Linked DNA regions of Coturnix japonica. The protein of the gene in region 1 interacts with the protein of each later gene in a pairwise test. Links are inferred from orthologs where the notes say so. Each region holds a gene or a part of one and is shown in the gene's direction. Other genes may lie near its edges.

Region 1 (4,233 bases):
GAGAGCCGCCTGTGTCCCACTGGCTTCCCCACACCAGCCGTTGTCACGCCTTCCGGCCCTGTGTTCCCAGCTGTGTCACACCTCTTGTTCCACGTTCTGTCCCGCATCCCGTGTGCCATGTGCTCACACCGTGCTCCCAGCCTTACGGCCCGCGTCCCCATCGCTGTCCCCAGCCCCGCGTGCTACGTACCCAACCTCGCGTCCCACGTCCCAACTCCAACGTCCTCGTCCCCAGCCGTACGTGCCACGCACCGAACCTCACGTCCCAGACCGCAGCCCTTTGTCCTCCATCCCCACCCCGCGTCCCGTCGCCCCAGCTCCGCGTCCCACCCCCGCTCCCGTCCCCGGCCCCGTCCCACCCCGTGTCCCCACGTCCCTCCCCCAGCGCCGTGTGGCCGCCCGCCCGGCCCCGCCCCGCCCGGCCCCGCTCCCTCCCGCCCGCCGCAGGGCCGCGCCGGAGGCAGCCGCGGGCGGGTGGCGGAGCGGCGGCGGCACCATGAGCAGCGGCGCCGCCGAGCGGGAGGGCCCCGCCGAGCCGGGCCTGCCCGAAGAGGAGGTAGCGGGCCGGGCGGGGGAGGGGGAGCCGCCGAGGGCGGGCCGGGTCCCGGGGCGGGAGCGGTGCGGCCCCCACGCGTGTCCGCGGGGTCCCGTCAGCCTGGGCGTGGGGCTCGGGGCGCGGCGGGAAGCTATGGAAGTTGGTGGGGGGGGAGGCGGAGCGGCCCGGAGCCGGGTGCGCCTCGGCACAAGGGCTGTGGGACGCGGGGCGCTTGGACTCACGCGGGGTGCGGGCACGGCGCCTCGTCCCCCGGAGCGGAGGCGGCGGCACAAGGTCCCGTCGGGCGGCACGGCGGCCGCGCACAGAGCCTGGCCGGGGACGGGAGCCGGGACGGCGGCCCCGCTCGGCTCTCGGCGGCACCGCTCCCGGCACAGCGCGAGGTCGGTGCCGCCGCTGCCCGGCCGCCGCGCCCTCACCCCGAGTGCGCGGGCACGAGGACGGGTCGCGGTCACGCCGCGGGCGGGGGTCGGGGCGGGGGCAGCCGAGCGGCTCACCGCTGGTGGAACATTAAAGCGAGCCCGGGGAAGGTGATCGGATGCCTGGGGAATGAGTCACCGCGCTCCTCCCGACGGTCCCTTCCTGCCCGAGCTGACCGGCGGAGCTCGGCGCTGGGGCGGCGGAGCGTGACCGCGTCCTTGGGGCAGCCGAGGGGCCACGGCGCTGACCCGGTGCCCGTCGCACCGCCCGCGGCCGCCGCTGCTGTGCCGAGCCGCCTCCGGGCCGCTCTCGGGCGGAGCGAGGCCCGCCAGGTCTCCCCGAATGTCCCCGGGGCGAGGAGAAAACCTGCCGGGCGGGGACAGCGCGAAGGGGACGGAGCAGGCACGAGGCTGCGCCCCGGTCTGTCCGTGGGCAGCAGCAGAAACAGAGGGGTGCGGTGGGGTGGGCACGGGGTGGCTCCGGAGCACATTCACCACCCTCGCCTGGTGACAGTCCCGGGCTGTGACGAGGGATGGTGAGGGGTGAAGGCGAGCCGGGGAGAAAGGCTGAGCGCGGCAGGGTGGTGGGGCTGCCATGGGGGGTGTCAGCCCACTGGCGTGGAAGGATCCCTCCGGGAGGGGTCCCCAGCCCCCACAGAGGGGATTCTGCCACTGCCCACCCCGGCCTGCACTGACAGCATCTGCAGGGCCCGGGGAAGGCTCCAGAGCCACAGCCTCTGTCAGGGAGCTGCCCCGCTCCGTGGCAGAGCAGGGGCAGCCTTTCCCCACGGCTCCTTGCTGGGGAGACCGCATCGCAGCTCCTTCCCCAGCCTCTGCTTGTCTCTGGTTTTGGGCAGGGGGGAAAAGCCTAAATGGGATTTCCCCCACCACCCCCCTTCAAGCTCCTGCTGTAATCTGCGCTTCTCTCCCTGCTCACTGAGCACCGCAGCACTGGCCCGACTTGGCCGACCTGCGTTTGAACTTTCAAAGAAAACAAGTCATTACCGAGGAGAAGCCGCATCTCTGTGAGGCCTAATTTCGGAGGGTTTTTTTTCAGGGCCTTTATCTCTCTTATCTGCTGCGCAGCCATGGGGCTAAATTACCCGGAAAGTCAGGCTCGGGCGGGTTTAGCTTTCAGGAACACAGCTCACAGCGGGCACTTCCTTGAGGCCGTGAGCACAGAGCTGTGTGCAGGAGCGTGGCCTGGAGGCCCTGGGGAGCCTCCTGCAGGCCCACAACCAGCTGACGCTCTGCCCCTGCAGGTGAGGACCCTGTTTGTCAGCGGCCTGCCCCTGGACATCAAGCCCCGCGAGCTCTACCTGCTCTTCAGGCCCTTCAAGGTACTGCACCCGCTATGGGGCTCTGAGGGCCTCTGAGGCCAAATGAAACCAATGGTGCTTCTCTTCTCTCCCGCAGGGCTATGAGGGGTCACTTATCAAGCTCACCTCCAAGCAGGTATGGGCTGCACCGTGCCCCCACCTGCCTGGGGGCTGCCCTCACCAACTGCTGGGGATGTGGTGGGGTCTTGGCCCTGACCGCCCTTCGCCTCCTCTCTCCGCAGCCCGTGGGGTTCGTGAGCTTCGACAGCCGCTCAGAAGCTGAGGCCGCCAAGAATGCACTGAACGTGAGTGCTGGGACCCCCTAGGGAACACCAAAAGAGATGGATCCCAGTATCTATTACCCCGTGGAGACCTCCTGGGGAAGCCCGGTTCCTCCCCATCCTTGCATTGAGGCAAAACGCCGCTAATCCCTTGCTGGGAGCGTGGCTGCACGGGATACCGACTACCAAATATGGTGCTGAGCTCGAGGATGTCAGAGGAATGTGAGCCACGGGGCCATGCTCGCTGCCAAGCACATGAGGTCACGGCCACCCCAGCAGCCCGTGGGGATATTGGGACAAAATCCGAGGCTGTTTTAGCCCAAATGGCCTTCTTGAATGGGGGGCAGCACCCTACCACAAGATTCAGCCTAACTGACCTCTGCTGCCCTGTTCCTTTCCACAGGGCATCCGCTTCGACCCTGAGATCCCCCAGACCTTGCGGTTAGAGTTTGCTAAAGCCAACACCAAGATGGCCAAGAGCAAGCTGATGGGCACTCCCAACCCCAGCACGCCCCTCCCCAACACTGTACCTCAGTTCATCGCCAGGGAGCCCTGTGAGTGCTTGCATCCTGACCCTGGTCCGCCCAGTATATGGCCCTGGCAATGCCCCTTTCTTACTGAAGCAGTTGGGGCAGTGATACCTTAGGAGCTGGGTGCAGGGAAGCTTTTGGAGAGGCACGGCAACTGTGGTTGGGTTTGGAAACCAGCTGCTTGTGCTTGGGATGACGCAAGGGCAGGTGACGGTGGCCTGGGCAGAAGTGCAAAGCTTATACCTGCTGTCCACTTTCCCCTTGCTTTTAGGATTAATTTTCCTCCTTTTCCTGCAGATGAGCTCACAGTGCCTGCACTTTACCCCGGCAGCCCTGAAGTGTGGGGGCCGTACCCTCTGTACCCAGCGGAGCTGACGCCTGCTCTACCTCCTCCTGCGTTCACATACCCTGCTTCGCTGCATGCCCAGGTAATGGCACTGGCTCACAGCACTGCAGCCTTTCTGACAGGCAGAGCAAGAGGGAGGGAAAGGAGGGGAGCTCTGGGGCCAGCTGCCCAGAGGAAGAGCAATGGTAAATATTATTGCAGCCTCATACTTCCCCTGTCAAGGCAGCGCTGACAGGCAGCACCTGTGCTCCTCCTGGAGGAATCAGCACTGCAGCCACCGCAGCCCCAGGGTATGGCTGCACTACCCTTTGCTGCAGTTTTCCTTCCTGCTCACCCCCTGCCCCCATGTCTTGCAGATGCGCTGGCTCCCTCCCTCCGAGGCTGGGTCTCAGGGCTGGAAGTCCCGTCAGTTCTGCTGAATGCTGTGTAAGTGCCCCCCGGTGTCCTCCGTGTAGCACACCTGCGGTGCCAGCCAAAACTTGGGTAGGAAGGGGGACGTGCCAGCCCCATCCCTGAGCCCTGCCATGCCACCCACAGGTCTCGGGTGTGTGATGGCGGCCGACGGTCAGTCTTGTGGGTATGAACAGAGCCCCCCGGCGGCTGCTGGGCACGCACGCTCTCTGCAGAACCACAGTGTGCTGGTAAGGAGCGCAGTGCTCGGGCACAGGCTGTCCCCCCATGCTTAATCATCCACAGCGGGGGTGGGAGTTCCAACTGCCCTGTCACCCCACCCCCTCTCTGCCATACAGCTTCCTGCCCTATAGCAACACTGGTCACACTCCTCT
Region 2 (4,285 bases), on another chromosome or scaffold:
CAGCTGTCTCCAGCCTCTGCCTCTCTGCCACGGTTCCTTTTGTTAAATCAATGAACCTTGCATTAGCTGGGTGAGGATATTTTTGCTGTCTGCCACATGGCTGTGGATGCACCATCTCGTTGCTGAGTGGCACGGGCATCCAGACATCCGGGCCTGCTGCTGTCCCCAGAGTGCTCTGAAACAGGCATTCACTTTGGGTTATGTAGCAAACCTGATCTGGAGAGGTAGAAGTTGCACTGTTAAAATATGCTTGTGCTCATAAAGCCGGTCTATAAGACAGTACCAACTCTCAGTCATGAGCTGTGCAGATTACCATGTTGTTAGCACATTCTCTAGGAAATATAGAGGACGAGTACAGTCATTCATAGAAGGGACTGCTTTGCTGATCTGCATACTGACAGAGCCCTAGGGTCTTTTGCATCCAGACTAACGCTAGATCCAATGCTGAAACACAGCGGTACTACCTGTGGACACACACGTGACACATCGGCACTACAGACATCTGCTCGGAGCTCACAGCTGTGCTGGGGGGGGGGGATTGGAAGAGGCTCAAACAACAGCCCGCTCTGGGCAGCCACGGCACAGGGAGCGCACGTGCTGCTCTCGGAGCCCTTCTGGAGCTGAGACCCAGCCTTGGGGGTTTATGCAGCATTTCGTGTGGTGACTTTGGGATGGGGAGAGGCTTTCCCGGCGCCGTGCGTGCCTTCCTGATGCCAAAGCAGAGCGAGCGGTTCCCTGCGCGGCAGTCGGGTTGCCAGCAAGCAGAGCAGACGCCGTCCCGTGCCTGTGTTCCTCCCATTCATTTATTCGGGGAGAGGCGGGCAGTGGTCTGCGCGCAGCCGGGAGAGACGAGCGAGGATTGTGCCGGAGCGCGTACGAGGAGCGCAGCGGGAGCGAGTACCCAAACATGCGTGGTGCAGCCCTGCCCGCCTCGTAGTGCGGCGACGGAATGAGTCAGAGCCTCTTTGGTCTGAATGAAGTGGAAGGTACTCTCTACAAAGCAACTCGAGCATACGCCAAGGATCCGGAAAAATAAAACTAATTCAGAAAACGGGAGTGGGATGCGGGCTCCTGCGCTACGACGCTTTGAACGGCAAAACGCAATATGGCATCTTAAATAAAATCACCCTCCCCTGACTCTCACGGCGCTGCCTCCGAGCCGTCCCTGGCTCGGGTTTATTTCCTCCCTTAGCGACAGCCCGGCCGAGGCCGCCGCTCCCGCATCCTGGCCCCGCTCTGCTCCCCCCGCTGGGCAGCGCGTCCCTCCCGGTGCCCGCCGGTGCGTCCCTCAGCACAGCGGGCGTCGGGGCGAGGAACGGCCGGGCTGGGGGGGTAAAAAGGGGGGAGGAGGAGGAGGGCGGCTCGGCCCCGGGCGGCCTCCAAAGGGTTAAGGCCGGCGGCCCCGGCGGTGCTGAGCGTATGCAATAATCTGTGTGGCTCTCTTGGCCGCCCGCCAGAGTGCTGCCTTGCCTCCTCCTCCTCCTCCTCCTCCCCCCCGCCCCCCCCTTTCGCGTGAAGTAGGATCCTTGAGCTGTTGCAGAGGCAGCCAACTGCTCCATATTTGGCTTCTATTACACATTTACATACTGGAGAGCGGAGCGGCAGCGAGCGCTGTACTGCAGACATCATTTCTACTACAGCGCCGGAGCAGCCCGGAGCGTGTCCCCGCGGGGGAAGGAGCCCTCACTTACACACACATACACACGCACACATATACACACACACACACACATACACACCCGCAGACCCCCACCCCGGGAGGACGGCGGTGCTCGAGTCTCAGTCCGACCCCCCCCGCCAGCCCCACCTCCACTGACACTTTACAGTAAGTGCCTTTTTCTTCCTCCTCTGCTTTCTGCCCCTCCACCCCCCCCGCTCCTCCTCCTCCTCCCCCGGCTTCTCCCCTTGTTTGGGCTGCGGAGCCGCCCGCGGTTCCCGGCTGGAAAAACACGGGGCTGGGGGCGGCTCTGTGCGTGTATATGTGTGTATGTGTGTGTGTGTATATGTGTGTGTGTGTGTGTATATGTGTGTGCGGGGGGGCAGCGCTGCGGCCCGGCCTCAGGGCCCGGCCCGGGCGGGGGCCGCGACATGGCCGAGGGCAGCGGCCTGGGCCCGGGGCCGGGGCTCGCACGGCCCTCCCGCTCCTCCTCCTCCTCCTTCCTTCTCCCTCACCCCGCCGGCAGGGTGGACATTTTGCGAGCGGCGGCCTCGGGGTGTGTGTTTGTAGCCGGGTGTGTATGTGTAGATGTGTGTGTGTGTGTGTGTGTGTGTGTGGCGGTGCGGTGCGTGACGGGGTGGTGACACGGCCCCTCCGTGTGTGTGTGTGTGTGTGTGTGTGTGTGGGAGAGAGGAGGGGGGGGGCCGCGGCCGGGCCGCACGGCGCATGTAGTAGGGGCTGGGCGGCCGCTGAGGGTGAATGAAGCGAGCGGGCGGCGGAGGAGGCGGCGCTGGGACGGGGATGTGGCCGGCGGCCGCCCCGCGCCGCTGCTGTCGGGGCCCAGGCCGCCTGCGGACAACGCCCGGTACCGCCGCCGGGGGAGCGCGGGCGGGAGGGCCGCGGGGCAGCGCCACTTTAACCCCGGCCGGAGCTCGGGGTCGGGTCGGTGTCGTTCGCTATTACCCCACCCCCACCCCGGTAGGGACGCGGACGCCGCGATCCGCGAGCGCGATTCCTGGGGGTATCGAAGTCTCAATTAAACGCGCTGCGAAACGTCAGCGCCCGCTGTAATAGCGATAAGAACGCGACGGAGCGGGGAGCGCAGAGGAGGAATTACCGAGCGGCACTGACGGAGGAGCAAACAAGTCGGAAGCCGTTATATAATGCGGGGAGCGGCGGCTGGTTGGGCGCCGCTGACCGCACGGAGCGCAGCGCCGGGCCGAGCCGTGTGGGGGGACATCCCGCTCGGTGCCGGGCGCCGCGGGCTGTTTGTCCGTCCGTCCGTGCGTGCGGCGGCGCAATGAGGGCTTTTAATTTCGGTTTCGAGCCCTTCCGCGGCGGTGCGGGCCCGGGCCCTTCACGCAGCCCTTCGGAGACCGCCCGGCCCCGCTCCGCCGAACGATGAGAGAGCGCTGCTATGGCAACAGACAGCCCCGGCCGCTCAGGTGTGCGCGCCGTGAGCCCCGCCGCCTCCGTGCGGGGTGCGGGGACAGGGACGGGGGGAGGCACCGCACAGCGGCTCCGTCAGGGCGCTGCGGGAGCACGGAAACTTTGCCGCTGCTCCTCGCACCCAGCCCGGCTCCGTAGGGCCGGGAATTGTTGGTACCGCTGGGAACGTGAGCAAGGAGCTGTGCGCTGAGGGGCAGCCGGCTTCCTTTGCCCTCGGTGAACAAACCCGAGGGGGCATATCGTATAAACATCGCCACGCGGCTCGTTGCTGATATTCCGATTGATACCACTTTGCGTTTGTGCTCGTTAACATACAGCAGAGAGCGAAACTTTCCGCCCCGTACGGCGTGTTGCCGTGTTGGAGCGGGCAGTGCGGCTCCTGCCCTCCCGGAGCAGCTCATGCCGGCCCTTCCCCTCGTTGCCCGCACACGGGCGCAGGCGTCGCTTCGTGCAGGCACCGAATGTGGCGCTGAGTCGTAATGCCGCGGGCCTGGAGCGGCTCCAGGGGCTGCTTGAGAGCCGCGCACACCGTGTGTATATCTGGGGTAGCTCCGCTCGTTGGACTCCGGCCAGGCGCAGAGCAGAGTAGCAGAGCTCAGGCGCTGATCCGCTGCCTGCAGCCATCGTTTTCCCAATATCTTACCACGGCAAAAAGCAACGTGGGATTTTTTTTGCCCCCTGGAGGTGCCGCGTTAGCCACGTGCGTCCACGCTGCTACGGAGCGCAGCCCGGAGCACTTCGCATCTCGGCGGTGAGAAGCTGCCGGCACCGTGAAGCACACACACAATCACAGCATCACAGAATGACCCGGGTTGGAAGGGACCTCAAGGATCATGTAGTTCCAACCCCCTGCCTGGCAGGGCCACCAAACATACACATTTACTAGATCAGGAGCACCGGAGCTCCCCGGCAGCCCCTGGGCAGTGCACGGTGCCGGCAACTTCTCACCGCATCTCTTCTCCCTGCCCTGCTGTGATTTACTCGGAGAGGCTGAAGGAACCGGTCTTTTATTGTAAGAGACATTTACAAGAGGCCTGGAATTGCACTTAACGAACATTTTTATGTAATAGATCCAGTGGCCTAGTTTCATCTTAATTAAGAAAATAGACGTTAGATGCGCTCACCTGAAAAGCAACTGATTGAAACATTAGGATGCGAAAGTATTGGTCTCAGAGCAAA
Region 3 (4,253 bases), on another chromosome or scaffold:
CCAAGCTCAGACAGTATACGAATAAAGCATATTCCTAGCAAATGATTGAATGTAATAATTTCTAAACCCACATGAGCAGAACAAAAAATGGTATAACTAAATTCTTTTTTTCCAGCTGCAGGTGAGCTTGTTATCAAAATTTCTTCTTATAGCAAAGTCCTGCTATGAACAAAGAAATTTTGCTACTGCAATGCAAATCCTAGCAGGCTTGGAGAATCTTATTGTACGACAGTTGCCAGTAAGTTTGGGACTCTCTGTTGTAACTATTTTGCCTAAAATAAGCTTGTTCAAATATGGACATTAATATGAGAAACAAAAATGTGTTCTCTTTTATTATAAGGCCTGGAAAATTCTACCTGCAAAAGTAGCTGAAATAATAGAAGAACTCAAGGCTGTTGAGGTATAGTATGTGGTCTTTAAATAAAATATTTCTTTGGGAGTGAGGGAGACTCAAGTTCTTTTTAAAGGAGTAATGAAAGCCAAAATTAGTGTTTTGAATTACAAAGGAGATTTTAAATTATTGTCAGACTGTTGTTTCTTGGTCTGGGTTTACATTTTCACCTCAGTTTTTCTCAAAAATGTATCCCATGTGACTAAGAATCAAGAAAGTCATTTCAAAGCAAACTGCGAAATTAGATATATTTTCTTGAAGAATTCAAGAAATGGGAGTTTTCTGAATGTAATATATTCTGAAAAATCCTGAAATGCAATTTTAGCTGTGAACTAGAACTTATGAAAAATATGATATGTAGTGCTCAGCACCTGAAGCGAAGAACTCCTTATAAAGACTAGCCTTAAATGTAATACGTTACTTATCTGTGTGCATTTTCACAATAGGTGTTTCTAAAAAGTGACAGTTTGTGTTTGATGGAAGGAGAAAGATTCAAAACACTTCCAACAATTCCATCTGCCCATGTTTTAGCTATGCATGTCCAACAACTTGAAACTGGAGGATTCACAATGACAAATGGAGCTCACAAATGGACTAAACTTAGGTAATTATTTAGCTGTATGAAAGATAGAATGCTATCTAATGAGATAATGAGAGCTAATGCATTTCCCATCTAGCAAATTAAGTCTAGCTAATTCAGTCATTTTTACATTAAAGTGGACAAAAACTGTAGAGGTAAATGCTCAGTGCTTTTTTATTTCCTTGAAACTTTTTTCTTCTGTCAATAGCAACATAAACTAATCTTTTTAAACATATTTTCTTTCAAGAAATATTGCGAAAGTTGTGAGCCAAGTTCACGCATTTCAAGAGAATCCTTACACATTTACACCGGATTACAAGCTGCAGTCTTACCTCAGACAAAGAATAACTCGTTTTAAGGATGCAGACATTTCTGCTTTGGCCGCTGACAACTGTGCCAACTTCCATCATATACCAGCAGAAAAACATTCTCGGAAAATCCAGGACACGCTGCGCAGAATGAAGGCAACATTTCAGTAATTATTTACATTTCATCTGTTCTATTCCAAGTATAGAGTATAATACCGGATTAAATTGACTTTACTTCCTGAACCAATTCCCAAACAAATACTTAAGTGACTTAAAATATTGTCTCAGTTTGAAATGGGTATATTACTTAACGTGGAATAGTAAAAAAAAGAAATGCTGACTAATGAAGTATGATTCCTTGGCAAGTGGATAAAGGTGAAAAGTAAAGAGACTAATTTTGTCACTGTCCTTTTGCATAAAATAATAATTAGCCAACAGGCAAAATATCTGAAAAGTACTGTGGTAGCAACTTATACTTGCAGCTTCTGTTGCAAAATTGTCCTAGGATTATTTGGACTATGTTAATTTAGTGTTGAATATATTTTTATATAAACATAGTACATTTGTATCCTATCATGATGTGCATATAATTCAGGGACGTCTCTACTATCTGTTGACTGTTGGTGGTTTTTGCTTTTATGTTGAGTATTATAAAACCATGCATGATGGTTTATAATTGTCTATCTTTTCATTTGAGCATACAATGGAAGGAGAGGAAATACCATGTTGTAAAATTTTTTTTCTTTTCATCTTACTGTCACTGAACTAGCCTGTTTCCACATGAAAGTACGATCTGAATCTAAATAATTACCACTTTCTTGCTTTGCTGCTGCCTCCATGGTCTTGTGAAGAAAGTAAACATGAGTTGATCTTTTTCTGTGTCTGGTACAAAAATCAATCACTTTGCCAATTGTGTATGTATGTATGTGGTGGGCACATCTGGTTATGTCTTTTGCTCCTGAGGTTGCTCTTGTAAATTGCAGTGCTCCAGCAGCATTAAATAGGAGATAACTATTAACTTTTGATATGCATCTTGTAAAACTTTGGTGCTAACCTATTCATAGAGCTTATGCTTACAGATACCTAAACAGCAATGGGAAGTGATGCTTTAGCTAGAAAGTTTGTTGAGCTACCCAGGTTCATGCAAGGTCAAGATCTTAAACCCACAAGTTAATTAAGGTGACAATTCTACCAGAGGAAACAATAGTAGTATTGGAAGAGAAGTGGGAAAGGGCAAGAAACAGATAGAAGGATCTCTGTCCTGTAACTGATTTGCTGGAAATGTGTTTAACAAAGAAGGAAAAGAAGGAAAGTAAAATTTTGGAAAAAGCAGATGTGAATTAATTGCCTTGGCATGTTTTAATGATGGAGAAAGATGGGAATATGCACATCTGTAATATTTTGCAGATTGTACTATTGTATTTGACAGAAATGCATGTGTACATGGTAAACTGTAGTTTTTTCCAATGTTTAAGAGAAAAGATTCTCCTTTTCTGATCTCAATGATGGCAATATATACCATCACAGGCCTTCTCATCTTTCTCAACTGAACACAAGGTATGTCTGTTCTTTCCAGTAAATACTTCCATTATTTTTTTATACTAATATGGTAGCTCTAGACTGATACTTGTATTCCTACTGGTTTAGATGCTGGAAAACTCAGCCTTCAACTGGATTTTCTTGAGTTTGTTCTGCTTTTAAGATGATTTCTTTTGTTACTTATCATATGTACGTTTAACATGTCGTTAGTGTTCCTGCTCACGCTTGAGAATGAAAAATATGTTTCTATTTTAATAAATTTTAAAAATATTTCTCTAAAAATTGCCAAATGTGAAAACATTTAATCATTACCTCCTATATTTAAATAATAGAGTGATTTAAGATTGTCACAATGACTTCATCTTCAGAAATAAGTTCACCATTAAAAAAATTAATATTTACTTAAAGCCACGCCTTGCCTTTGAAAGACAGAACAATTTGAAGTAGCATAAGCTTTACTACTGCAAAGAACTCCACAAACTTGCTCGTGTTACCTTAATAAATATATTTTATATAGTTGCCAGTCAGGCTATTGAAATTGCTTTTGTGGATTTACTTAGCGTTTATATTTTGCACCCACCTTAATTAGGTCTTACATGTCTCACCATTTTTATCAAGATCTAAAGCAACTACTACACCTAGAAAATATTGGTTTTATTCTGTGACAATAACTGGTGCTATACAAGAACTTAGAAGTCATTTTGTATCTTCTGCATAATGCTTCAGTGTGTCAGGCTTATTGTTGTTATAAATGCATAGTATGGAGGTATGGTACTACTTTGGGATGTTTTCATCAAACAAATATTGAAGTTTTTGTATTTAGACATCACTGTACAACCACAAGTGTAAGTATCTACTGGGGTAGGTGCGGAAAATCACCTTTGCAAGGAAACCAGACTGCTTTTGTCATCTTATTTACATCTTAATTACATAACACGGATTTCTCAATAAAGTTATGTCTAGCATCTAATGGTACTGCTTATTTATAACTAACGTGCAGCAGGATTTGAGCTAAACTTTTCCATCTCTGAGTGGAATGTCCCTTTAAAAGAAAGCACAGATCATAACATGTGAAAACAGCATTTGGTTTTCAGACAAATGACCTGTAGAGTTTCTTCAGTGAAATATTCTCCATGGGAGCCTTTCCAGTTCCTTGCGTTCATTCCTCTGCATTGGTGCTCTTTCTGTGTACCTTTGCAGGTCTCTTTTCCCAGGGTCCCTGGGTTTTTCAGGACTCCTGCAAGAGTGCTGGGAACTGTGTCCTAGTCTCACAGTAGCTGCATTGGAAAACAGGTTTCCAGGATCCACAGTTCCAACTTTCAGAAGCCTGTCAGGAAACGTGGATGGATTCTCTTGATTCCCAGGAAGTATTCTATAGAAGGCCAGACCAAGTAACTGGAAAATATTTCATGAATCACCATTGATTCATGATTCC
Region 4 (4,013 bases), about 13 Mb from region 1:
GCATTTAAATAAAGCAATAAAGCAATACCTTCTCTGATAAATAACATTCTTTTGAACCTTATCCTTTTTGCAATGCTTTATTATGTCTTCATTTAAAAAAACAACAACAGAGTGAATTAAAACTTGGCATTCATTTGGATGAGTGGCATTTTTGTACGGAGGGAATGAGTTGTTATGACTGAGGGAAGCAACACTTTGTTGGGAACGGTAGTCTCTGCTAGAAATGGGTATTAGCATGTTAATCAGCCATCTTCTGTCACGGCTTTTCAAATGATGTATGGGCTGCATCTTCTGAATGAACAATGCAATCCAGTACTGTGTGAGAGAAGGGGGAAGCCTAAAAACAAGGTAGAATGTGCTGCAGGAAGTATCTGTTTGGAAGAGGAACAGAGAAGTTTTGTTCACTCCAACTATTCCAACTTACTTAACACAACTGCACGTTGTATACATAATTAAAATTAAGTAAAACTAATTTTTAGGTGATTGACTGAGGGGTTTGCTTGGTGAGGATTCTTCTACTTCCAATGCACGCAAAGCAATATTTCAGAGAGCGCAATCTGGGTTCATGAAATGGTTTTGTTTTAGTCATGAGATGCTTTCATGCGTGCAGTCTCTATTTGGAAGACCTGAGGTTATGAGATACACATATCTGTAGGTTTTTTTTATTCTTTAGCTTATGAAGAACACTTTTGACTTTAATGCTTATGGAAGATGTACATGAGAAGTCTTTGATGGTATTTTGGCTGTGAGTGTCTTTCATTTGCTAGATGAAGAAAAATGGGCCACAGCGTGCTGATAGCTATGACTTAAAAGACCTTGCAGCCTAATCCCATACTTGTTGGGATTTTGAGCTTGAAGTGCAAAGCCCTCACACAATCTGGAGGAGAAGGGTGAGGTGTGTGTGGAAAGGACAGGGGGACCTCTTATCCTTATTAAGCTAATTATTTTGTTATCAGGTCCAAACGTGAATGCCAACAGTAAGGCCTGAGCACAGACCTTGTGCACAGGCGTGTGACCACACAGCAGAACCTGTGCTGGAGGCCCAAATATGCCTGTGAGACCAGGCTGACTGCGGTAGCCGGGCCGGGCTGTGAGGGGCAGCCGCTCCCATAACACCAACACCCGCTCCCTACCCGCGCGCTTAGCAGCCCCCTCTCAGCCAACGCCCGCCCGTTTTAAAAGCGCTCGCACGCAGTTCCCCGCTGTGTGCCTTGCGCTGATTGGCTGCTGCCTCCCGTCAGTTACACCTGTCTGCCAGCTCGCCTAGGCCGCGGCTTTGGGTCGGGCAGCGCCGTTCTGCGTATAGCGGCCGTCCAGGTGGTGGGGTGAGCTGAGGTGAGGAAAAAAAGAGTAATAGTAGTTATGGCATAGAGTCTTGTGGAAACCTCGTATCGGTTTCTTCAGGCTAATGTTAGTTTGAGGAGCTGTAGTGGGGTATGTGAGACTTCTAACTACCACAGGTCTCTTTATTGTTTTTAGTAGGGAGGCCTGAAGATGGAGTGGATAGTGTTTATTGTGTGATGTGTGGCTTTATTTGTAGTAATTCTTGCTTCAGGCAGCGCTAGGGAGTTACACAGCCAGGTGTTAAGTGAGCTGTGTGTGTATTGGGGTGACCAAGCTAGAAGGAAAGGTGATGGGACAAAATGTCCAAGAGCAACAAGTTCAAGAGGAGAAAGTGGCTGATGAAAATGGATGTGATTGTAACTGCTTTACTTGCCAGGAAGGTGGGGAATTCCTTGGGATTTTGCTTAGTGAAGCTTCAATTTCTTATTGATAAAGCAAGCTTAACATATAAGGGATATTAAAAAAAAAACAACACAACACACAAACAAAAAGAAACCCAACAGTTGTAGATGATGTGTCTTTTTTGTTTTGTTTTGCTTTGATGTTTTGTTTTTGTTCAATTTCTTTTGGAGAATTAAGACCGTAGCACTTGGATCTACCACTTGGACAAGGGACTGAAGTGTTGAAGATTGCCTGGGTAAGTATTGCAGACCTTAAGGCAGAAAATTTGGGGAATAGGAAACATAGGGCAAGGAGAGAAAGAAAGGCCTTGGAAAAACATATCTGACTTTAAAGTTAATTTTTTAAACAGCCTGGTGAAGTTCATATATTCCTGTATAGACCTCTTGGTTTGGTTTGATCTGTGTGACCTACATGACAGAAACCAAAGGAGATCTTGGCATGCCACCAAATAGTGGATGTAGCAGTAACAACTCTATTGGTTTTCAACAGCATGAAAATGGATAAAAACATGAAAACAAGGAACTCAGAAGTGGGATTATCTCCGCCCCTTAGTTTTGACAGACAGTTCCACCAAGTTTTATTAAATATCGATTCTATTTGAATTATTTTTGTCACTAAATTCTTTGAATACTTTGAATTAACTAGTGGTGGACACAGTGCATTTCAGAAGTATTCTTTGGGCTTAAATCCAATTCTAAAACCACTGGTGCTCCCTAGAATATAGCGATAAGGATTTTGTCACTGCAGATAGCATTTAGGTCTCTTTACAACTGAGACAAGTTTTAAGAAGTAATTCATTATTGTGTTTGAAGAGATGGCATATTTATCAAATAGCTATGATGTGACTTGTATAAAATTAGAACTTTAGGATGGAATATATAGTTGCTGGTTAAAGTTCACTACTGTGTTTTGAAATCAAGCTCATAGATTATACCAGCTGCACATAGGATTGTAGCTTTACGCTGCTTATTGAAGCCACAGGAAATAGCCAACTATTGCACGTGTTTCTGTGCTCTGGTGGCTTCTGTATGAAGATAGCAGCTTGAGATTGAGTAGAAATGTCCATAATGTACTATTGAAGCTATTGCAGATATGAATGAGGAGAATTCAGCTGCAACAAGTGGATCTGACAAAATGAGAGGCGGTAATCACAAGGCTGCTGCTTTACTGGCCCTACTAGACAAGACTGGATACAACATGATTCAAGAAAACGGGCAAAGAAAATTTGGTGGGCCTCCACCAGGTAAGCCTTTCTTTGGGTAACATAAGGATACCTATACTGTGTTTCTGCGTATGTCAGAAATATACTTTCTGGTTCATTATTACTCTGTTGAGCCTGATGACTTTGCTGAATTTGGGCTTCATTTCTAGTTTAGGATAGCATTGTTGAACATATCTGTCAGTGCACATGGCAGAGACATAAAATGAAGACTACATATTCTTAGGCATATCCTTATAGACCAGAGGGGCCAGAAACATGGAACTGTTCTGTGGATCTTTGTATTATTATTATTTTATTCCTGCAGTATATGGCTCCAACCTGTGAAAACTGATCTCTTTGTAAGAGGAAAAATGTTCATGGTTTTTGGCCACTGAAAAAAAATGATTGTCCCATATCGTACCTTCTTAGGGTGTCTTTATATAGTGGATGAATGGAGAAGGTGGAACCATAATGTTCAGACCTTTTGAATGGCATTGGGGGGAAAACAATACAGGCACTGGGGACTCTGACTAAAACTTCCTAAAATATGGGCAAGAAGTGCAGGTAAATGCTTATAACTCGGAAATGTTACAAGTAGAAAATACAACAAGTTCTTAAGTTCTATCAGGTGTATTAATACGTGACATGATTTTGAGAAGTAAAGATATGATTTAAATGCAGACTCTTGCAACCGACTTGTGTCTATTGCTATTTAAAACACTGTGATGTTGTAAATAATGCTGGTTTCAGTGGCTTGTCATACAAATTCAAGGGAAGGAAGCAGATGAATGTTAAAGAATTATCTGTGTGTGCAGTTTGCACTTAAGATTATGGAATCTAAAAAGATACAAAAATACCAGTTTTCAAAAATAACACTTAAAATCCAACAGCACAAAGTGTATTGGGTGATGGTGTGACTGTGACGCTTGGTTTAAGATTTTTTTGCTGCAAAACTTACTTTAAGGTTGGGAAGGTCCTCCACCACCTCGTGGATGTGAAGTTTTTGTGGGTAAGATCCCTCGTAACATTTATGAAGATGAATTGGTCCCTCTTTTCGAGAGAGCCG
Region 5 (3,500 bases), on another chromosome or scaffold:
TTTTATGTGAGAGGAAATGAAGCCCTACAATAGAACCATAATTCAATTGAATCGGTACCGTGTCTCATGACCCCAATATAATTTTACCCAAAGTGTCTCGGTGTGAGCTATTGTCAACAGCATAAACCGCAGCACCGATGATGTGCTGCCTGGTCAGGTTTCCTTCCTTCTGAACAACCATTTTTCTCCTGCAGACTCACAGGGATCTTTGTGCTGGGCTGGTTGGTGTGTGAGCACAGAGCGCAGTGAAGCACAGCCACTGCACTGGGGTGGTGCTGGTGGGGGAGCACAGAAACACAACAGAAGGGGCAGCAGTTGCAGAAGGGGAGCGGAGGCTCTGGGAGCGGTGTGGAGCAGTGACAGGAGGTGATGCTGTCCTGGTGCCATTTATCCTGGGCTGCACTGCTGGACACACACACAGCAACCAGCCAGGACAGCTCAGGACATTCACATTCAATTGTTTTGCTCCTGCAATTTGTAAGATTTGTTTTCAAGAGTAAGGGCAGGTCCATGTTCCTTAGCAAAACCTGTGCTGATTGAATGACCTTGCACCTCATTTGCTGGATCTGTCTGCAACAAAATGAGGTTCTGTGTCTCGTTTTCATCTTTTTGGAAGCATGGGTGAGGCCTGTCCAGTGATTTCAATGGCTTCTCCAGTGGCAAAAATAAGCCCCTCTTCACATTAATATACTGCATTCTGTTTTCTCTCAGCAGGTCAGTGCATCCTACTATCCTGCTCCAGGATCACTGAGGCACTCGGCAGCCATTGTCACTCTGCCCCACCTGCAGCATCACCTCTCAGCCAACATGTGAGTCATGCGAATCGTGCTGAGGGTCACACAGCACTCCACATCTCCCCCATCCCCAGCCCAGCAGCTCCCTGGGCTCCTGCCTGCAGGAGGGGCATTGGGGTGCAGGGCTGTGCACCTTGGGCTGGGGACATGCATGGGTGTCCGCAGTTCTGAGCAGGAGCTGCAGGGACTGCTGGGGCAGCTGATCCCAAACGTAGTTGTAGGGTTATGGAAAAATTTAGGTACAGTGCTGGAAAGATTTGAGACAGATTCTGACTGTTCCTGCTGCTGCCACCCAGGCAGAGCACACATCTGCACTACTCATGGTGTGTTGCCTCAGGCCAAGGCTCGTTGGTCCTCCATCCCTTTTGTCAGTGGGCACCTGTATGTTAGGGTAGCACGGCAGCATTCTCCTTGCTCAGTGCCCTTGGCTGGTTACCTGCTGCTTCTGAGACAGACGCTGTGACAAAATCTACAGTTCTTCAGTTCTGCTGGCCCTTCTTTTTCTCATATCCCCTCTGGTCAAACACTGCAGGCAGGTTATTCCCTGCGAGTTATCTCTGCAGTAACAGCAGTGCCCCAGAAGCTGTGCAGGGCCCTCCAAACCCCGTGTTGTGAATGCAGGGCTGGAGGACTTCACTGTGCTGAGCTCCGTCTGCACGCACCGCCGCCTCCCTCCACCACCAGCTGACGTTCTGCTCCTTTGCCAACAGGAAACCCAGCACACCCGACTCGAAGCTGCCCTCGCTGTACGCCTCGTGGACGCTGTCAGCCGCCTCGCTGTCCTCGCAGGGCAGCAACTCAGAGAGCGCTCAGCGACAGAGCCGGGCATTGGAGGCAGCGCTGCCCATGGGGCACACAGCACTGCGGCGCGGCCGCGGCTGCACCAGGAAGAGTGAGTGCAGGGGGACTGTGCTATGGGCTGAGCTATGGGCTGTGTCTGGGATGGATGCAAGGATCCACGAGGTGCTGCCAACATCGAGCAAAGGAAGCAGGAATGGCACTGAGTGCCAGTGTGCCATGGGGAGCAGTGAGCCCTGGTTGAGCAAACAGCACTGGGATGTGCGTTAGTTTTGGTCCTCCAGAGAGAGGTTTGTGGATTGTCACAGAGGACCTCGAGAGCTCCATGTGCAGAGGAAGTTACAGAAGGTTGCATGAGGTATTATCAGGAGTTCTTAAGAAAGAAGCTCAGAACAAAAGGGTAAAACTCAGCAGTGCCATTGTAGGAGTTCTGGTGAGCTCATCTCCTGAATACTTCTCATATTCTGATAACTCCAATAGAGTAAAATTAGAAACGAGCATAGAAAGGATGAGCAACAGAATGGAATAATTTTGTTTCAGGAGCAAAGTTTTACAGCTTAGAAACATCCAAGATACATGAAGTCATGAATAGGCTGCAGGTGGAAAGGTGCACTGAATGTCTGAGCAGCCACAGCACAGTCCCCAGGTTGGGGTGGAGATGGGCAGCGATGCTGGCCGAGGCCCAGCGCATTTGCAAGGGCCACTGCTGGAGGTTTTAGATTCAGCACTGGGTTTATCTTAAAAGCAGTTTTGCTGTAGAGGACCTCACACACCTGTGGTGGCTCTTATTAAAAAATCCATCTTGCAAACAGTGACGCACTGCCAAATAAATAAAGTGCACGACTTCCAGTGTTGCAGCCTGGAGAGCAGCTGCAGATGGAGCAGCCAGTGCAGAGCAACCAATGGCAGCAAACTATAGGGATGAGAGGAGGGCTTGGGTGCAAACTTACAGACATGCTTGGCCAAAAGCATGACTGCAAAGGATGGAGAATAGCAGGTCTGTGGGTGCTGCTTCCCCCATGGCACCTGGGGGGGCTCCATACAGGACAGAGAGGCAGGCAGCACCATGCTGGGCTGGACAGTACTGGGAGTATGTCCTACAGTGCTGTTGGTTCCCGCTGCATGCTGCTGCCCTGTGCTTTCCTGCTGGAACCTCACTAACCAATTTCCCCTACTCTCGCCCCCAGATGGGTCCCTGCAGAGGCCGGCACAGGCAGGGCTGCAGGCTGGCAACTCCCTGCGCCGTGTGCCCACAGCCGGGCTGCAGCCGTACCCACATGATGGCAGCCCGCCCCACAGCAGCCCCGCTGCTGGCACAGCTGAGGTGGGCACGAGGCCCAGCTTCTCCCACGAAGCCCCGCCAGCGCTCACAGTCAGAGGAGGGGAAAGTAGGACTCCATCTGTCTGCAGCTCGGTGATCCTGGACGCCATGGACACACTGGCAAAGAGTGAGTCAGTGCCCCGGCCACCCGCGTCAGCCCCGCCATCCATCCTGGTGAAGCCGGACATGTCCCGTAACAGCAGTGACAAGGTACAGAGTGCTGCCCACGGGCTGATGGGTGCTGCTGGGGTTATCGGTGCTGCTGACTCTGCTGTTGGAATTAAGCCCTTCAGAAAAGCAAAGTGCTGCAGTATGCCTTTCATTGGGAGCCAGTGTTCATCAGTTCAGTGGCAGTGATCAAAATTTGAGGCTTTCTGAGGTCTATGGTGAGGCATGAATCTCACTGAGCTCCCCATAAATCACAGAACCATTAAGGCAGGAAAAGACCTCTAATATCTCTAAATCCAAACCCTACCCACCCCCACTGTTCCCATGGACCATAGAACAGCTTCAGTTGAGAAGGATCCCAAGGATCATTAGAATCAATCCCCACACCACTGGCAGAGCCACCAAACTGCAAACACGTT
Region 6 (4,027 bases), on another chromosome or scaffold:
AACTATGTCCAGTCTGTCTTGGATGAGACCGAACAGAACTTCCACCTGATTTTGATAGCAGACTACTTTGATGAGTCCATGATCCTCCTGAAACACACTTTGTGCTGGGATTTAGATGATGTGATTTACTTCAAGCTCAATTCCAGAAGCAATGAGACTGTCCAGGCCCTGACTGCAGAAAGCAAGGAGAGGGTAAAAAAGTGGTGCTCGCTGGACTGGAAGCTCTACCTGCACTTCAACCAGAGCTTCTGGAGGAGGATTGAGGAGACCATAGGGCTTGAGGAGCTGGAGAAGGAGGTAAATGGGCTGCGAATGAGACAGAAGGAACTGATGGAGACCTGCCTCTTGGACCAGGAGGCTGTGGTGAAGGCTCACATCAAGGACAAGGCTCTCTTGCCTTTCCAGTCAGGGTCAGCAAATATCCTCGGTTATAACCTCAGGCCAGACTTAGACAATGAGACTCTGAAAAAATGCCAGAAAATGGTTATGCCAGAGCTGCAGTACACGTCCTACCTCTACTCCCTCCAGTACCCGCACAAGAAGAGGAAGCCCATAAACTTCCCTAAGCTGTGGAGCAGTTCCCAGAAGACGTAGTGCTCTGCACTGCAGCTCAAGCATCCCAATGCTGCAGCCCTTCGCATCAGCCAAGTGTGGCAATGAGACTCTTGCACAGGATGGGGAGACAGGGGGTCATTTGAGGGCTACCTCTACACAGTCTCGTTCATTCTGTGAAAAAAAAGAAAGTCATATTTTATTTCTTTATATTTACTGCCTCTTTCATTGTATGGATGCCAGACCTTCCAAAGGGCACAGCCCCTTCTGGGCACTGAGACTGCAGCCACCACATACTTGGACCTTCCAGATTTGCTGAGGCTGTAGCAGCTCCCAAAAGGCCTCCAGGCAAGGACACAGCTGGGTAATGAGCAAGTCCATGATGCTGCTGTCACAGCAGGGGACTGTACACACTGTAGGGGACAGCCGGGTGCTGCTGGGCACTGGTAGGCTCTCAGGCTGGGCTGGGCTTTCTTTCCACTTAAACATTAATCGTCAGCTTAATCATCTTGTTTGCATTTGACCTTTCTTAATAGAGGTTGTTGTTTCCAGGCTGGTTAAATCTCACTAGAGCAAATCATGGTTTCCTGCTTTTAGGAACGCATAAGAGAAGGGATGAAGGGAAATGAGGACTGGAGTGTGCTCAGGAAAGACGGCATTGGAAGGCACAGGGGTATGGGAGAGGAATGAGGGTTCCGGGCTGGCAGCATTGGTGCTTTAACACCAGCAGAGGCTTTGCCACATTCTGTTGCTCCCACAGCCAAATTCTCCCCCACCAAATAGGAGAGGGGTCCAGGGAGGCACAGCACTGCTGGCTTTGGGCATCCACTTGTGATGGAGAGAATGAAACTCCTGGGACTTCTGCATGTGGCCAATTCGCAGGGAGCACAGCAGTGCCAAACCCTCCTGCGGAGTGACAGCTGCAGCGTCACTGCCATTAATGATTGCCATCACACCACAGCTGGGCTTGGCACTGGTTTCTAAAGCCTGTTGCCAGCTTCTACCATGCCTGCCTCCACATACGGTGTAGGATTTCAGGTTTAACCAGGGTGCCCACCCTGCCATGCAGGGCAGCAGTAAGGGATGTGCATGGGAAGGTTTTGGGACAGTTGTGGCACAACTTGTTGATGAGCAGTTTATTCCACACTGCTTCATTCAGGTGTGCAAGGCACTGAGCTGCCAGGCGGTGAGGGGGCCACCATGGGCTGTTCTGTTGGCTGGAGCAGGGCAGGCAGCAGAGGGGATGTCAATGCAAGGCTATGGCAGATCCAGAGGCACCAACACCGCTCCCTGGCTGGCAGGAGGGAAATAGAGGCAGGAGGCACATCCCCTTGGCATCCTCTCCCCCCAGCCCTGAGCCCAGACACACACGGAGGGGCCCAGGCTCTGGCTGCCTGATAATGGTGCCTTTGTGCTGCTGCTGACTCAGGGCTTTTTGCTGGGCCCCGTGACCCATCGGTGGGGGACACTGCAAGGGGAGACACAGCCGGCAGCAGGGGACAGGGCTGCGCTGCGCAGCACCGGGTGAGTGCCTGAGCTTTACCTGCAGGGTGCTGGGCAGAATGCAGGTGAGTGCCCCAGCTAAGAGCACAGGGCAGGCAGCACCCCTGGGCCTTTGGTGGGAATGCAGCAGAGGGAGGGGCTGATGGGATCCTAACCCTCAGCTCAGAGGATGGCCCCTCCATTTCCCATCCCAGCCCTGGCCAGCCTGGGTTTGCAGAAACCTCTTCAACCAGCAGCATGGAGAGCAGCCTTCTCTCTTCTTCTGGCAGCGTGCATCTCCCCCATCCCCTTTCCCCGGTCCCCATTTGGTGGGGGCTGCCCCTTTTGTCCCCTGCAGGAACCATGGGCTCCCGGCACTTCCCTGCCCGGACCGTGCTCTTTGAGAAGGAGTCCACCGGTGTCACATACCGTGTGCCAGCCCTGCTCTACCTGCCCTGTGTGGCCAAGCTGCTGGCCTTCGCCGAGGAGCGGCTGAGCGCCGACGATGCCCACGCCAACCTGCTGGTGCTGCGCCGCGGCACCGTCTATGGCAGCTACGTGGAGGTGGGATGGGGGCCCATGGGGGGGGGGAATGGCCCCAGGGGTGCTGGGGGGCTCATCACTCCCTCTCTGAGCAGTGGGAAGACATGCGGGTGCTGGAGACGGCGGCACTGCAGCACCACCGCTCGATGAACCCCTGCCCGCTCTATGATGAGTTCACCGGCACCCTCTTCCTCTTCTTCATCACGGTGCTGGGCAGGACACCCGAAGCCTTCCAGATCGTCACCGGGCAGAACGTGACCCGCCTCTGCTGCGTCACCAGCGCCGATCAGGGCCAGAGCTGGAGCAAGGCCACCGACCTGACCCAGCAGGTCATCGGCCGGGCCATCAAAGGTAGCACTGTGGCCCTGCAGGGCAGTGGGAGGGCGAGCAAAGGCATCAGGCTGCAGCCTGTGCTGCAGGGTTGGGGTCCAGTGAGGGTCCAGGGGCAGAAACGTGGCTCATGATGGAGGGGACCACTGGTAATGCTTGTCCCCCTGTCCCCAGAGTGGGCCACCTTCGCGCTGGGCCCAGGGCATGGGATCCAGCTGCGCTCGGGCCGGCTGCTTGTTCCTGCCTACAGCTACCACATCGACTGCAAGGAGTGCTTCGGGCAGCTCTGCAAGACCACCCCGCACTCTTTTGCCTTCTACAGTGACGACCACGGCCAGGGCTGGCGTTTTGGGGAGTTCATCCCCAACCTGCAGACAGGAGAGTGCCAGCTGGTCTCGGTGGATGAGGAGGACGGTTCTAATGTCCTCTACTGCAATGCCCGCAGCCCCCTGGGCTTCCGCGTCCAGGCGCTGAGCACTGATGATGGGGCTGTCTTCCATGGGGGGCAGCTGGTCCCACGGCTGGTCGAGCCCCCACACGGCTGCCATGGCAGCATCATCGGCTTCCCCGCACCTTTGGTGTACGGCTCTCAGCCCCGCTCGGCTCTGCAGGCACTCCCTGCCATGGCTGCTGGCAGCGGGACTTCAGCGGGACCTCACAGCTATGCATCGCTCCAAAGGGACCCCAAAGGCACTTCTGGGCCCTTCTTCCAAGCGCCGACATGGGTGCTCTACTCACACCCCACCAGCTCCATGTCACGGGTCAACATGGGGGTTCACCTCAGCACCTTCCCCAGGGACGCAGACAGCTGGACTGAGCCCTGGGTCATCTACGAGGGTCCGAGCGCTTACTCAGACCTGGCTTATATGGAGCTGCCCCACAGCCAGTTCCCCGTCTCTGGTGGCCCAGCCATCGCTTTTGCCTGTCTGTATGAGAACGGGAAGCGCTCGCCCTATGAGCAGATCTCCTTCAGCATGTTCACACTGCACGACGTGCTCCAGAACATCCCCCTGACAGCCGCAGTGCCCCGCAGGAAGCGCAGGAGAAGGAGCTGTTGTGTCTCCTAGAGCCACCTGCAGTGCTCCTGGCAGGGGATGGCAGGGACAGAGGAGGACAGCTA
Region 7 (4,261 bases), on another chromosome or scaffold:
GATGCTTGTCTTCATGTCTGAATAGATTGTTTGCCATGTTCTCATTAATCCTTCTTTTAGTGCTCGTAACAGAATGTTATTCTTGGATTTTTTTTCCCCCAATACACAATAAGGTCGAACTGAGGCTGCTGTAGTTGTAAAGAGATCTTTTCCAATGATTCCAAGACTTTGAAGGCTCAAGGCCGTCGGTGGTGTAGTAAATTATTTCAATGAACATTGCTCTTAGATAATTAACTTGCTTTCTTTTGACTGCAAAGTTGTTTGTGGCTTAATAACCTTAAGGTGTCTTAGAAAGTAGAGGCTGCTCAAGAGAGAATATCAGATTCGCAATACCGTGGTGTTGTAACACTGATGGAAACAGGAGGTGAATGGCTTTAACCATCTACTTCTGTGCCTTTGAATATTTTTTCCTGTCTAGGATTAGAACTGTTTGATACAAGGATGCAGCCCAGCACATGGAGCTGGTGCTGGAGATGGACCTGGAGGTGTTCAGGGGACATTTGGACGTTGTATTAAGGGACCTGGTTTAGTGAGAACTACTGGTGATGTGTGGATGGTTGGACCCGATGATCTTGGAGGTCTTTTCCAACCTTTGGTGAACCTATGATTCTGTGCAGTGCTGGGAGAAGGATGGTGCTTTAAGGCTGAAAGAACATGGGGGTAGGAGCACCTGGGGACTGCATAGAGGAGTGTTCATTAAGTAATCTCAGTCAACTGAGTTTTACTCATTGGAGCTGAAGAACCTTCTTGGTTTTGCAAAGTTGGGATGCCCAGAGGTTTAAACACAAGGCTGTGGAATGCAGAATGGTTCTTTGGCCTTTTGGCTAAGACCAATGGAGTGTTGAGTAGACCAAGGGAATAGGACTTAAAAACATCGAGTGCTTGAGTGCCTGGCTCCATCTTCATCCAGTAGGATTTTACCTCCTGATGCTTTTCTGTTCCTTCCAAATTCACAGTCCTGGTGAAAGTCCCATTGGACGACCACACGATTCGATCAGTCGGGAAGGTTTTTGAGGAAGAAAAATAGCTCAGGATGAAAGTTGCACAGTGCAACCCAACTAAATAAGTCTTTTCCTCGGCTGAGAAGGCTGTGTTTGTACTCTACAGCATGTCAGGAACTCGGTGAAGGTTTTCATCTTCATTTGATAAGTCATGGAGTGTGTTTTTAAATGAGTTGCGCCAGCACAGCATTGCCCTAACGCTCTACAGTCTGCCGAGGTGAGGTTTTTAAACAACGTGTTCTAATTAATTCTTAATCCATTTCATAACCCGTGTTCCCAGCTCCTACCTCTGGAGTCTTGATTTTTATAGAGGAACAAAAGCAATGGATAGAAAAGGACAGAAATGGATGGAAGTACGACAGAAGAATCAGGGAGATCATCCTAACGGTGAAAAGAAGCAAACTTAATATTGGTCATAGCAGAGGAGGATAGAAATAAAATGAAGAATACTCTGCCTGCTGCCAAGTTAGTGAAGATAGTAGGTAAAGGTTTTTCTTACTAAGCAGCCCTAGTAATCTTATAAGGAAATGTTAAAGGGTTTAAACTTTTTGGCACCAAAAACACAATGGGAGTGAGTGGAGGACTCAGGGAGTAAGCTGCAGGAATCCTTTGTTGGGTTTCTTTGCTCAACTGGATAGAGGTAAATTGCTTTAAAAGGTAGAGCATGTAATCTCGTAATTAGGAAATTAGAAGTTAATGGGAAACTTGAGCAAAATGTGTTAATGAATTTATTCAGCAAGCTGCTGCAACTTTGGCCCTCTGAAGAAGGCTGTAGGAAGCTGAGAGTGGTGAGCAGGAGATGCAAGAGCCCTGACCCTAAACTGAGGTGGCTTTCCACTTGTACAAATCTGGTAGACGAGCAAATAAACTGCATTATAAGGCAGTGACACAGTTGCCCAGTGAGTGGGGTGGTCACCATCTCTGGGGGTGTTCAGAACCATGGGGATGTGGCACTGAGGGATGTGGGCAGTGGGTATGGTGGGCTGGGTTGGGGTTGGCCTTGGGGATCTTGGAGGTCTTTTCCAACCTGAATGATTCTGTGATTCTAAATCTAAGTGGACTGGAGAAGGTGTAGCAGCATCCAGAAACTTTAGAAGCCAAAACAAAGCAAAACCCCTCAGCTCCAGCAACCCAAGACTGGCTTTTGTGTCCATCCTTGGCTCCTCATATGCCATTTTCTCTTCAAAATATGTTTTCCTTGTCTCAATGTCTAATAAGTGTCATACAGAATTCATACAGAAGTTTGATTTTTGCTAGTACTCATTTGTGTTATCTTCAGTTCTGACCATTTCTGAGGGTTTTTTGAAAGAGAGAAGAGAGCAGAGATGCTTTGTGGCTGTAGGTAATGGACAGGATGACCCAAGTGATGTGGTGAACAGGAGGTGGGCACAACACTTCTGTCTGCTTGTTTACAGCTGGAAAATAGTGGAAGGATGAAGTTGCTGATAATTCCCTGCCCTGAAGGTCACTGCAGTGCTGTCCTGCTGAACCAAGCTGGTTATATGGAAGGAAAGCACCGCTCGTGCATTCAGCACGAGGAATTTATGGGTTTCTGTGGCCATGGAGGTGTAAAGATGTAAAAATAATAAATTAAAACAAAAAAAATGCAAAACTTGGCAAATTTAGCTACCAAGGTGGATCTGCTGAGTGAAGCACTGAGGGCGAAGGCATCCAGATTTAGTGTAAAACGGATGGAAAGAGGGTTGGTCCCATAGGTGGGCACACTCAAGGATGCTGGGGGGGGTGCAGCTGTGAGGAAGGGGTTGCACTCAGGTTGCTGGTACCCACATTGCTTTTCTTGTTTCTTTCTCACTACGAAAGGAATAATTTCATTTGACAAAATGTTACCGAAGCTTTTGGAACTGAAGCTGCAGCCCACGTCTTCTTGATAAATGGCTGTGTGTATTCCTGGAAGGAAGTTAAAACGGGGCTGTGTTATATTTGGTACCTCCCGAAGCACTGAGGCTACTCGGAGTACAAAATGTGCTCCAAGAGAGACTCATTTGCCAGTGCTGAGCGTGATGTGATGAGATTTGTCAAGTCGTCCTTTCTGCTGGAGCTCACTTTGCCTTTCCTCTCTCTCTCCTGGAGACGGTTTGTTGCATTCTGTAGTTATGTCATTGAACTGGGAGGCTGTAAAGGAAGCCAGAAACCCCAAAAATGTGAGGAATCTCCAAGCAACACACACACTGTGTTATAAGGCAGAGAGAGAGAGAGGTTAACTGCGTACACATAGAATTGATAAGGCTGGGAAAGGCTTCCAAGACCCCCAGCCCACCCCACCATGCCCATTGCCCATGTCCCTCAGCCCCACACACTCTGAACACTCCAAGTTCCTGTGTTTTCTCCTTTTTGGAAGCTGAGAAGATCTTGGTTTTGGTTTGTCTGCTCCTGATGCTGACTGATATGCAGTAGATAGATATATGATATATCTATCTATATATATAGATATATCTATCTATATATATATATCTATCTATCTATCTATCTATCTATCTATCTATCTATCTATCTATCTATCTATNTATATATCTATATATCTATATATCTATATATCTATATATCTATCTATAATAGATATATGCAGTTCTCCGGCAGGATATAGGAAAGCATTGAGTTTCAGTTCATTCAGCCTTAGTGCAAGATGCACCACGTGAGTATCCCACCCAAAGCCACCGAGCGTAGCAGATGCCTACAGGAAGATTCTCAGTCTTGATTCAAGAGAGGATGCAAATGCTGAATAATCTGTTGGAAATCCCGATGGAAAAATGAATTCTTTGAGTTTTTAGAGGTTAAACAAATGGACATTTACTTTAAGGGAGCTGCAGTAGATGCACCCACCCACCAGTTGACAGCAGTGGGTCCGATTCATACACACATGCCTTGCTGCTCTTGCTGCAGTGCAAATGACGACGTCTCCACGATGGGACAAGCCGTGCTTTCTGTGCATTGGGTTTGCCAGCAGAGCCTCACTGATGGTTCTCTTTCTGTTGTTCCTTTAGAGCTGTGGAATGCTGTGACCAGTCCCAGTGCCCCGCAGCCCAAGGCACGTCGCCGTCCAGATCATCTCCATCCAAAGGAAGTTTGTTCACAAAAGGTACTGACTCACATTTGCGTGGTGTACTCAAATGGTTACGTTTGAATGGGAATACTGCATTGATTTATGGAGTTATTAAGTCTGAGGTAGTGAGGACTGGGGTAGAATGCACAGTAGGTGTGTGCTGCTCTTGTAAAGAGCTGTGAGAGTTGGCTTTTTAGTG

The links.
Region 2: the proteins of RBPMS (region 1) and ATXN1 interact in binary tests that used the Homo sapiens proteins (3 or more experiments, as listed by UniProt). The link is inferred for Coturnix japonica from reciprocal best matches to the Homo sapiens genes RBPMS and ATXN1.
Region 3: the proteins of RBPMS (region 1) and homeobox protein VENTX-like interact in binary tests that used the Homo sapiens proteins (3 or more experiments, as listed by UniProt). The two-hybrid records come from large-scale screens. The link is inferred for Coturnix japonica from reciprocal best matches to the Homo sapiens genes RBPMS and VENTX.
Region 4: the proteins of RBPMS (region 1) and RBM46 interact in a two-hybrid assay, tested with the Homo sapiens proteins (2 studies listed by BioGRID and IntAct). The two-hybrid records come from large-scale screens. The link is inferred for Coturnix japonica from reciprocal best matches to the Homo sapiens genes RBPMS and RBM46.
Region 5: the proteins of RBPMS (region 1) and SH3RF2 interact in a two-hybrid assay, tested with the Homo sapiens proteins (2 studies listed by BioGRID and IntAct). The two-hybrid records come from large-scale screens. The link is inferred for Coturnix japonica from reciprocal best matches to the Homo sapiens genes RBPMS and SH3RF2.
Region 6: the proteins of RBPMS (region 1) and NEU4 interact in a two-hybrid assay, tested with the Homo sapiens proteins (2 studies listed by BioGRID and IntAct). The two-hybrid records come from large-scale screens. The link is inferred for Coturnix japonica from reciprocal best matches to the Homo sapiens genes RBPMS and NEU4.
Region 7: the proteins of RBPMS (region 1) and FAM168A interact in binary tests that used the Homo sapiens proteins (3 or more experiments, as listed by UniProt). The two-hybrid records come from large-scale screens. The link is inferred for Coturnix japonica from reciprocal best matches to the Homo sapiens genes RBPMS and FAM168A.

What each region holds. Positions count from the first base shown.
Region 1 is NC_029519.1:30,663,444-30,667,676, reverse strand, and holds the start of RBPMS (RNA-binding protein with multiple splicing), read left to right. Parts: upstream 1-1,433; 5' UTR 1,434-2,060; coding exon 2,061-2,312; intron 2,313-2,388; coding exon 2,389-2,427; intron 2,428-2,533; coding exon 2,534-2,596; intron 2,597-2,975; coding exon 2,976-3,126; intron 3,127-3,399; coding exon 3,400-3,530; intron 3,531-3,804; coding exon 3,805-3,867; 3' UTR 3,868-3,874; intron 3,875-3,985; exon of another isoform or gene 3,986-4,089; intron 4,090-4,233.
Region 2 is NC_029517.1:67,238,656-67,242,940, forward strand, and holds the start of ATXN1 (ataxin-1), read left to right. Parts: upstream 1-1,485; 5' UTR 1,486-1,825; intron 1,826-2,355; exon of another isoform or gene 2,356-2,599; intron 2,600-2,630; exon of another isoform or gene 2,631-3,102; intron 3,103-4,285. UniProt on the Homo sapiens protein: Chromatin-binding factor that repress Notch signaling in the absence of Notch intracellular domain by acting as a CBF1 corepressor. Binds to the HEY promoter and might assist, along with NCOR2, RBPJ-mediated repression. Binds RNA in vitro.
Region 3 is NC_029521.1:18,715,140-18,719,392, reverse strand, and holds the start of homeobox protein VENTX-like, read left to right. Parts: upstream 1-1,453; 5' UTR 1,454-4,253. Other genes in the region: kinase non-catalytic C-lobe domain-containing protein 1, read left to right, coding at 116-238, 341-400, 838-995, 1,219-1,450. UniProt on the Homo sapiens protein: May be involved in ventralization.
Region 4 is NC_029519.1:18,143,672-18,147,684, forward strand, and holds the start of RBM46 (probable RNA-binding protein 46), read left to right. Parts: upstream 1-1,213; 5' UTR 1,214-1,335; intron 1,336-1,916; 5' UTR 1,917-1,981; intron 1,982-2,827; exon of another isoform or gene 2,828-2,836; 5' UTR 2,837-2,838; coding exon 2,839-2,989; intron 2,990-3,911; coding exon 3,912-4,013. UniProt on the Homo sapiens protein: Essential for male and female fertility, playing a crucial role in regulating germ cell development by ensuring the proper progression of meiosis prophase I.
Region 5 is NC_029528.1:470,595-474,094, reverse strand, and holds part of SH3RF2 (E3 ubiquitin-protein ligase SH3RF2), read left to right. Parts: intron 1-711; coding exon 712-809; intron 810-1,504; coding exon 1,505-1,686; intron 1,687-2,779; coding exon 2,780-3,123; intron 3,124-3,500. UniProt on the Homo sapiens protein: Has E3 ubiquitin-protein ligase activity. Acts as an anti-apoptotic regulator of the JNK pathway by ubiquitinating and promoting the degradation of SH3RF1, a scaffold protein that is required for pro-apoptotic JNK activation.
Region 6 is NC_029524.1:3,620,374-3,624,400, reverse strand, and holds the start of NEU4 (sialidase-4), read left to right. Parts: upstream 1-1,227; 5' UTR 1,228-2,076; exon of another isoform or gene 2,077-2,120; intron 2,121-2,249; 5' UTR 2,250-2,292; coding exon 2,293-2,598; intron 2,599-2,672; coding exon 2,673-2,928; intron 2,929-3,081; coding exon 3,082-3,974; 3' UTR 3,975-4,027. Other genes in the region: GAL3ST2 (galactose-3-O-sulfotransferase 2), read left to right, coding at 1-594. UniProt on the Homo sapiens protein: Exo-alpha-sialidase that catalyzes the hydrolytic cleavage of the terminal sialic acid (N-acetylneuraminic acid, Neu5Ac) of a glycan moiety in the catabolism of glycolipids, glycoproteins and oligosacharides.
Region 7 is NC_029516.1:175,055,922-175,060,182, reverse strand, and holds the start of FAM168A (protein FAM168A), read left to right. Parts: upstream 1-1,461; 5' UTR 1,462-1,483; intron 1,484-4,003; 5' UTR 4,004-4,098; intron 4,099-4,261.